Linked DNA regions of Cricetulus griseus. The protein of the gene in region 1 interacts with the protein of each later gene in a biochemical or structural test. Links are inferred from orthologs where the notes say so. Each region holds a gene or a part of one and is shown in the gene's direction. Other genes may lie near its edges. The genes, in order: Ncoa6 and Thra.

Evidence for each region.
Region 2: the proteins of Ncoa6 (region 1) and Thra form a complex in vitro, tested with the Homo sapiens proteins (2 studies listed by BioGRID). The link is inferred for Cricetulus griseus from reciprocal best matches to the Homo sapiens genes NCOA6 and THRA.

The regions. Positions count from the first base shown.
Region 1 is NC_048599.1:24,227,799-24,231,607, forward strand, and holds part of Ncoa6 (nuclear receptor coactivator 6), read left to right. Parts: intron 1-508; coding exon 509-3,502; intron 3,503-3,809. UniProt on the Homo sapiens protein: Nuclear receptor coactivator that directly binds nuclear receptors and stimulates the transcriptional activities in a hormone-dependent fashion. Coactivates expression in an agonist- and AF2-dependent manner.
Region 2 is NC_048600.1:111,824,721-111,829,241, forward strand, and holds the start of Thra (thyroid hormone receptor alpha), read left to right. Parts: upstream 1-1,634; 5' UTR 1,635-1,800; intron 1,801-4,521.

The DNA.
Region 1 (3,809 bases):
GCCCAAAGGATACAGCATAGTATATGGAGATCGTGGACTCAATACTAGAATTATATCTTTTACTTTTATTAAAGGAACAAAAAGGCTGTTTTCATCAAAACCAAATTTTGAGAAAAACAAGTCCTCTGCTACGAGAAAAATCGATTTCTAAATATGTTATTTCATACACACAGTGAATTACTGATTATTTCTACCTGAGACCTAAATACTGGGCAACCAGCCCTTTGCTGTTGATAGGGTTTTTCTCATTTATAGTGCATAATACAGTCTTAATGCAGTAATGCTTCATTCACAACGTAAACACCAAGGGGCTTCGTGTTCTTAATGCTTTGCTTTTTGCCTCCTTAAGCAGTGTGAACCCTTGCTTGTGTCAGACAATGGGAACAGCATGCCTGAGCTGTTTGTGCGCAGTCTGCTACCTATGAGTACTGCTTAGCTACACTCTAAAGGTAGCAAAGTTTTCTTGCTGAAAAATCTAACTTCCCTGATTTTGGGGGGCTTGTTTTAGGTTATCCTACTCAACCAGTTGAACAGAGGCCACTGCAACAGATGCCTCCTCAACTCATGCAGCATGTGGCACCCCCACCACAGCCACCACAGCAGCAGCCACAACCACAACTGCCTCAGCAGCAGCAGCAACAGCCACCACCACCACCTAGTCAGCCACAGTCTCAGCAACATCAGCAGCAGCAGCAACAAATGATGATGATGCTCATGATGCAGCAAGACCCTAAATCCATTAGGCTTCCAGTCTCCCAAAATGTCCACCCTCCACGGGGTCCTCTGAACCCAGACTCCCAGAGAATGCCCGTGCAGCAGAGTGGCAATGTACCTGTTATGGTTAGCTTGCAAGGACCTGCCTCTGTGCCACCATCACCTGATAAACAAAGAATCCCAATGTCTGTGAATACTCCATTGGGAAGTAATTCGAGGAAAATGGTATACCAGGAGAACCCACAGAATTCTTCTAGCTCTCCACTAGCAGAGTTGTCCTCACTTCCTGAAGCTAGTGGCAATGAAGTACCATCTGTTTCAGGAGGCCCAAATAACATGCCGTCACATTTAGTAGTTTCTCAGAATCAGTTAATGATGACAGGGCCCAAACCTGGACCATCTCCCCTTTCAGCAACTCAAGGTGCAACTCCCCAGCAACCTCCTGTAAATTCTTTGCCTAGCTCCCATGGCCACCACTTTCCAAATGTTGCTGCACCAACCCAGACATCTAGGCCTAAAACTCCAAACAGAGCCAGCCCCAGACCCTATTATCCTCAGACACCCAACAACCGCCCTCCCAGTACAGAACCTTCAGAAATAAGTCTGTCACCAGAAAGACTCAATGCCTCCATAGCAGGACTCTTCCCTCCACAGATTAATATTCCTTTACCTCCCAGGCCAAATTTAAATAGGGGCTTTGATCAACAGGGTTTAAATCCAACAACTCTGAAAGCCATCGGGCAAGCACCTTCAAATCTTACCATAAATAATCCTCCTAACTTTGCTGCCCCACAAGCTCATAAATTAGATTCTGTGGTGGTGAATTCTGGAAAACAGTCTAATCCTGGAACAACAAAACGGGCAAGTCCAAGTAACAGTCGCAGGTCTAGTCCAGGGTCCAGTAGGAAAACTACCCCAAGTCCTGGAAGGCAAAATTCAAAAGCCCCAAAACTTACTCTGGCTTCTCAACCAAGCACAACCCTGTTGCAGAACATGGAACTGCCTAGAAATGTATTGGTCTCCCCCACTCCAATTGCTAATCCCACTTTATCTGGAAGCTTTCCTAACAATAGTGGGCTTAATCCTCAGAATCCCAGCGTGCCTGTGCCTGTGCCTGCAGTGGGGGCTGTTCTTGAGGATAACAAAGAGAGTTTGAACGTTCCTCAGGACAATGATTGCCAGAATTCCCAGGGTAGGAAGGAGCAGGTAAATGTTGAGCTGAAAGTAGTCCCTATCCAAGAAGCTAAAATGGTTGTCCCTGAAGATCAGTCCAAAAAAGATGGGCAACCTTTGGATGCTAACAAACTCCCCAGTGTTGAAGAGAACAAAAATTTGATGTCTCCTGCCATGAGAGAAGCACCAACATCATTAAGCCAACTTCTTGACAACTCTGGAGCTCCTAATGTGACCATTAAACCCCCTGGGCTTACAGATCTGGAAGTAGCACCTCCAGTAGTTTCAGGGGAAGACCTCAAAAAAGCATCTGTCATTCCCACACTGCAGGATCCGCCTTCTAAAGAGCCCTCTAATTCCTTAAACTTACCTCACAGTAATGAGCCGTGTTCAACCCTTGCGCATCCAGAATTGAGTGAGGTCAGCTCTAATGTTGCACCAAGCATCCCTCCAGTAATGTCAAGGCCTGTCAGCTCTTCCTCCATTTCTACTCCTTTGCCCCCAAACCAAATAACTGTATTTGTTACTTCCAATCCCATAACCACTTCATCTAACACATCAGCAGCCCTGCCAACAAACTTGCATTCTGCCTTGATGTCAACAGTTGTCACAATGCCCAACGTGGGTAACAAAGTTATGGTTTCTGAGGGACAGTCCGCTGCTCAATCTAATGCCCGGCCTCAGTTCATTACACCTGTCTTTATCAATTCATCTTCAATTATTCAGGTTATGAAAGGATCACAGCCAAGCACAATTCCTGCAACCCCATTGACAACCAACAGTGGCCTGATGCCTCCCTCCGTCGCAGTTGTTGGACCTTTACACATACCTCAAAACATAAAATTTTCTTCAGCTCCTGTAGCACCTAATGTTCCCTCCAGCAGTCCTGCTCCAAACATACAGACAGGCCGGCCGTTGGTCCTTAGCTCACGTGCCACTCCTGTTCAGCTGCCTTCCCCTCCTTGTACATCCTCTCCAGTCGTCGCTCCTAATTCTTCTATCCAGCAAGTAAAAGAATTAAATCCAGATGAGGCTAGTCCTCAGATGAACACCTCAGCAGATCAGAGCACTCTGCTCTCTTCACAGTCCACCACAGTAGTTTCTCCCCTTTTGACCAATAGTCCAGGCTCCTCTGCCAATCGGCGAAGCCCGGTCTCATCCACTAAGGGCAAAGGAAAAGTGGACAAAATTGGCCAGATTTTGCTGACCAAGGCTTGTAAGAAAGTTACAGGCTCTCTGGAAAAAGGGGAAGAACAGTATGGTGCAGATGGAGAGACTGAAGGCCCAGGGCTAGAGACCACAACTCCTGGGCTAATGGGAACAGAGCAGTGCTCCACAGAGCTGGACAGTAAAACCCCAACACCCTCAGCACCCACGCTACTAAAAATGACCTCTAGCCCCATGGGCCCAAGCTCCACCTCAACAGGACCCATCTTACCTGGCGGTGCTCTCCCAACCAGTGTACGCTCAATAGTAACCACACTGGTACCCTCTGAGCTCATCTCCACAGCGCCAACCACAAAAGGCAATCATGGTGGCGTAGCATCTGAGCCACTTGCAGGTGGCCTAGTGGAAGAGAAGGTGGGACCTCATCCAGAGCTTCTACCCAGCATAGGTATGTACTTGAGCTTGGCATCAGCTCCTCAGGTCAGGGTTTTGTTGACCTGTCCCACAAAAGAGAAAGCATGAGCCCTTTTCTGCTTAGAGGAAGAAAAATGGCCATAGTTGTAGATTTACTTACTGAAAGTACATTGAAAAATATGCTTTTAAATCCCATATTCAGTTTATATTCATTAACATGGTTCCTTCCTAGCTTCTGAACTGATGACGTGTTTCATTTTCGTGTGTGTGTGTGTGTGTGTGTGTGTGTGTGTGTGTGTGTGTGTGTGTGTGTGTGTGTAAAAGCATTTTCATACACACTA
Region 2 (4,521 bases), on another chromosome or scaffold:
CAGTCCCCTACTGCAGCTGCCACTGTACAGTGCAGGCTTCCTTCAGCCTGTGTGTGTGTGTGTGTGTGTGTGTGTGTGTGTGTGTGTGTGTGTGTCATCACCAATAACTGTTACCTTCCACTTTACTCTTCCTCATCCCAGTTTTCCTTCTCTTCCCTTTTGTCTCAGGAGCCCCAAGAGAGGCATCCTTCCTTCCCCACAAGCATTGCAAACCCTTAAAATCCCTTGTAAGAGAAGTGGCTCCGTGGTTCAGGGTGTAGGTGGCTGAGACTAAGATGAGCAAGGGCAGCCCAACTTGGATAGACTGTTGGTCAGCATCCCACTCAGCAAACGATTCTATCCAGTATAAACTGAACGGTTAGAAGAGCAGCTCCCCTGACACACTCACTGGCTCCTCCCCAAGAGCAAGCTGGGGAGGCAGGGCTCCGCCCTGGCAGCCGTGGGAAGGCTATGGCCCCCGCTGGTAAAACTGGGCTAATGACAGCGGGGGAACCGGCGGGGCCAGAGGGGGGTGCTAGGGTAATTAGACCTCTGCCTGGCGGTAGTAGATCCCGAGATGAAAGGGGCTATGGCGTCACTGACAGGGTTTTATGTCCATGAATGCAAAGGGGTGTGCGTGTGTGCGCGCGCGCGCGCGCGCGCGCGTGTGTGTGTGTGTGTGTGTGTGTGTGTGTGTGTGTGTGTTTGGTGCACGTGCGTGCGCGTGCGCGCGCAGGGGTCCGGAACTAGCATGGAGACCTCTCCTTTGAGAAAATGAGTCCATCTATTTGCAGCCACTCTGCTCCTTAGGTTGGCCCTGGAACCATTTGGATTTTGATGGTGCAAACATGAGAGGAGATCGTACCTCAGTGAAACTGGGAGCCGAGGGACAGTAGAGAGTCTTGCCCACCCCCCTCCCCAAGCTTAGCACGGGCTGTATATTGTTGGGGAATGGCTGGTGGGCACTGAATAGAAAGAGCCTCTATGGAGAAAAGAAACGTTTGCAGGAGGAGGCAGTGGATCCAGCATTAATGTTAGAAATGAGAAAGGAGGCATGAAAATGAAAAATGAGACTCCAAAACGGTTAGAAAATAAAATGGTTGAAGTTAGGAGGATTTCAGAAGTTACCTGCCCAACACTTGGATTTTAAGCTCTAACTAACCCTGGCAGCTGTAATTTGTTCAAGGTCACACAGAGAGTTGCTTGGAGAGAAGGGACCCGAACTATGAAACAAACCTATCGTTTGGTATCTGGGCTTTCTCCCGGATTTATAAGGTGCAGAGAACTCCCCGAAACTTCCCCTCTACCTCAGGGTGCAAACCAGAAAACCCCCAATTCTCCCAGCGAGTAAAAAGCTATTAAAAAAAAATGACATCTTGCTCAAAATGTGTCACAGAGCCTCCTCGCTCCTCGACGGAGCCTCAGGGGTGAAGTGGGCGAGTCCGAGCCTAGTAGAGGCCAAGGCGAACGAGGGGCTGCGGGGCGACCAGCCGGGGTCCCGGGGCGCGGCGCGGGCCGAGGGGCGGGGGCCGACGGCTGCGAGGCGGCCTGCAGGGAGCAGCCGCGAGCCGGCCGGGCGCGCGGAGCCGGAGCCCCAGCCGGAGCGGGGCGGGGGAGGGAGGAGCCTGAGCGGCCGCCGCCTCTGCCGGAGGAGCGCCGGGGCCGCCACACTCGCCCCCCGCCCCCCGCGCTCACTCGCACTCACACCCCGGCGCTGGAGGCGGGCGGCCCGGGCCCAACCGGCCCCCCATGGACGCCCCCAGCACGGGGCGCTGAGACCCCCGCGTCGTTGCCCAACTCGGTTCAGCGCGCCAAGCCAAGGTAAGGAGGAGGGAGCGAGGGGGCATTAATATGCAAATGCATCGCGATTGATTATGCAAAGCCGCGGGTCTCTGGCCAGCTCGGAGGCGGGCTGGGGGCGGCCAGGGGGTTCCCGTCGCCGACCTGTGCCTTTCCGGGCGCCCGGGTGACCCTGTCACAGCCCGAGAGCGAGCCACTGACGCCCTGGGAAAGGGAGGTGCTGTTAAGTGGTCGGTGGGCCCCGGGGTTCGCTCGCGGAGATGGCGTCTGGGCCTCCCCTTCGAGGGCCCGCCCGGCCTCTGTCCGGCCGGTCTGCTGCGCATTCCCGGGTTGGGCCCCGCTGCCTGCCGAGGCTCCCCCGCCCGCCGCGCCGCGGTTTGTTTACGGTGTGCCAGAAGCCTGTCGTGCCCCCCCAACCCTCCCCCCTCCGCCAAAGAGGGCGAATGGCCTTTGCAAAGCCGCCTCCAGCTACGGAGGGCAATGTGGGTGCGGCAGGGTGGGGGGGGGCCTTGCATGGGCTGGGGGAGAGTGAAGTCCCCCTCCCCTCCCTGCTTTCCCAGTTGAGCATGGCTTTCTGGTTGCAACACTCCTAATTGCAAAAACGCGGCGGGTGGGGTGGGGGGAATGTGAGCCTGTAGTAGTGGGGGTGTACTAGTGGATGGTCCCTGGATGATTAGGAGAATTGCTGGCCTGTGGTGGGGAAGAGAGGAAGCAATGGACCCGTGTTTGTGTGAGTGTGTGTGTGAGTGTGTGTGTGTGTGTGTGTGCTCCCCTGTTTCCCTCCCTTTGCAACGTGTCTCCGGTGGCCCTTTTCTGTCTAGGGCCCTCCCTTGTCCAGTGTGAAAGGAAGGCCTGGGAAGATGTCAAAGGCAATGGAGAGAGCCACCCATTTCGGGGACCAGGGGTGGGGGGGTACACAGAAGGAAAGCCGGGGAGATGGGAGCCTGCCCCTGAATGCTGGCTCTGGACCCAGGAGGGGGAGGGGATGAAGGGGGCCATTGTCCAAGATGAAGGGGGAGGCAAAGGTGACATGCAGACACAGATATGCCCACACAGACAGCCACACGAACACTCAGGGACACCCAGGCAGATTCAAGGACAGGAGCTGCTGGACACACCCACATGGGGACAAGGGAAGAGGCAGACTGCTGCTGCATGGTGGAGCTCAAAGGGGTTGGACACACCCACGGGAGACCAAGAGCAGAGAGACAGCCTGTGCACATACCCACGCACAGGGTCACAGGGAGATGCTGTCACACACAGGGGCAAGGAAGAGTCGCTGTCACTATCACATGCATGCATGCATGCATGCACACACAGCAGTTGCACACAGCCGCACAATTACAAAAGACCCTGTCACTCACAAGCACACACGAGCTCACATGTGCCCAGTCATGCAGTCATCATTGCTTGCCATGACAGTCACTGCCACTCAGTCAAACAAAAAACACAGCTACACATCAACACATGTGTACTCAACTTAGCAACAAGTATTTTCCTGGGTTCATCTGTGGAGCTGAGGTTCTATGGACAACAAAACCTTTGCTACCGAGAAAATCAAATTCATCTGTATAAAAAGACTTTTCTGCATATTGGTGCACAGGATGCATTCCTGATAATATAGTCTGTTACTGTTGGTTGTCATACCACCCAGTTACTAGATGGCAATCTCCTTGAGACATGGGAGAACCTCTAGAAGAACCCTGGATCCCACCCAGAGCCTAGCACAGTGTGTGCTCTGTAAACACTTGTTAATTGATTGACTGTAGGAACTCCAGGCACAGGTGCACTCCTTTACACCTAGTCTCACAGGTGCAGGGGCCATGCACAGGGCTCCCGAGTGCAGTCACAGGTCCCACCTGGCAGTGTCCAGATAACCCTTGCAGATAGACACATTGTAGCTAGGGCAGGAACGCACTTAAATGCACACAGCCACAGACTATTCCCTCTGGCTTCTTTCTATCTTCTAGGCTCAGCCACTGTGTAGCAATGGGCTCTCCCCCCCCCCTTTTAGAGGGACAGAGAAACAAGAGCAAAGTGGGTACAAAGGGGGTTCCAGAGGGCCGAGTCATGGGCCTGCAGCAATGTCCAGTGACTTCTAGCAGCTGGGATTGTCCTGGTTGCTGGGGGAGGGGTGTCTGGGGAAGAGTTGGGAGTGGCTCTCTGGCTCTCTCTCATCCCTAGCCTATAAGCCAGTGGGGACCTGGCTGCCCCTGCTAGGGTTTATTTGGCTGGGCCTTTCCTGGGGACCCTTAGTTGTCCCCAGCTGAGTGCTTGCCTCCCACTGTGAATCTGCCCCCTTTCTCACCTCTGGCCCTCTTGTCCAAACTTGGAAGCTTTCCTTGGGAGGCCGTATGCTGGCTGGCGAATGTCTGTGTGAGTGAGGTGTATTTTTGACTTGGAATTTCTCTCTAACTCTGTCTGTCTTTCTGTTGCTGTCTTGGGGTGTCTGACTCTCTCTCCTTGTGTCTCTGCCAGTCTGTAACTCTCTCTCTCTCTTGCCCTGTGCTTGTCTTCATTTCTGCCACGGTCTCTTTTCTCAGAGCTGGCAGCAACATTCTTCATACTTTTCCAGTTGTTAATGCTCAAATTCGGGCCCTTTGGCCCGCCCAGCCTGCTTCTGGGGTCAGCAGGAGGTTGGGGGGGTGGGGGGGTGCTCAGCTGGCTGCTCAGGACATCCTGCCTTTCCTTAATGCTGCAGCTGCGGCTGGCCAGCATGTTTTGGGGGCTGGGGATGGGGAA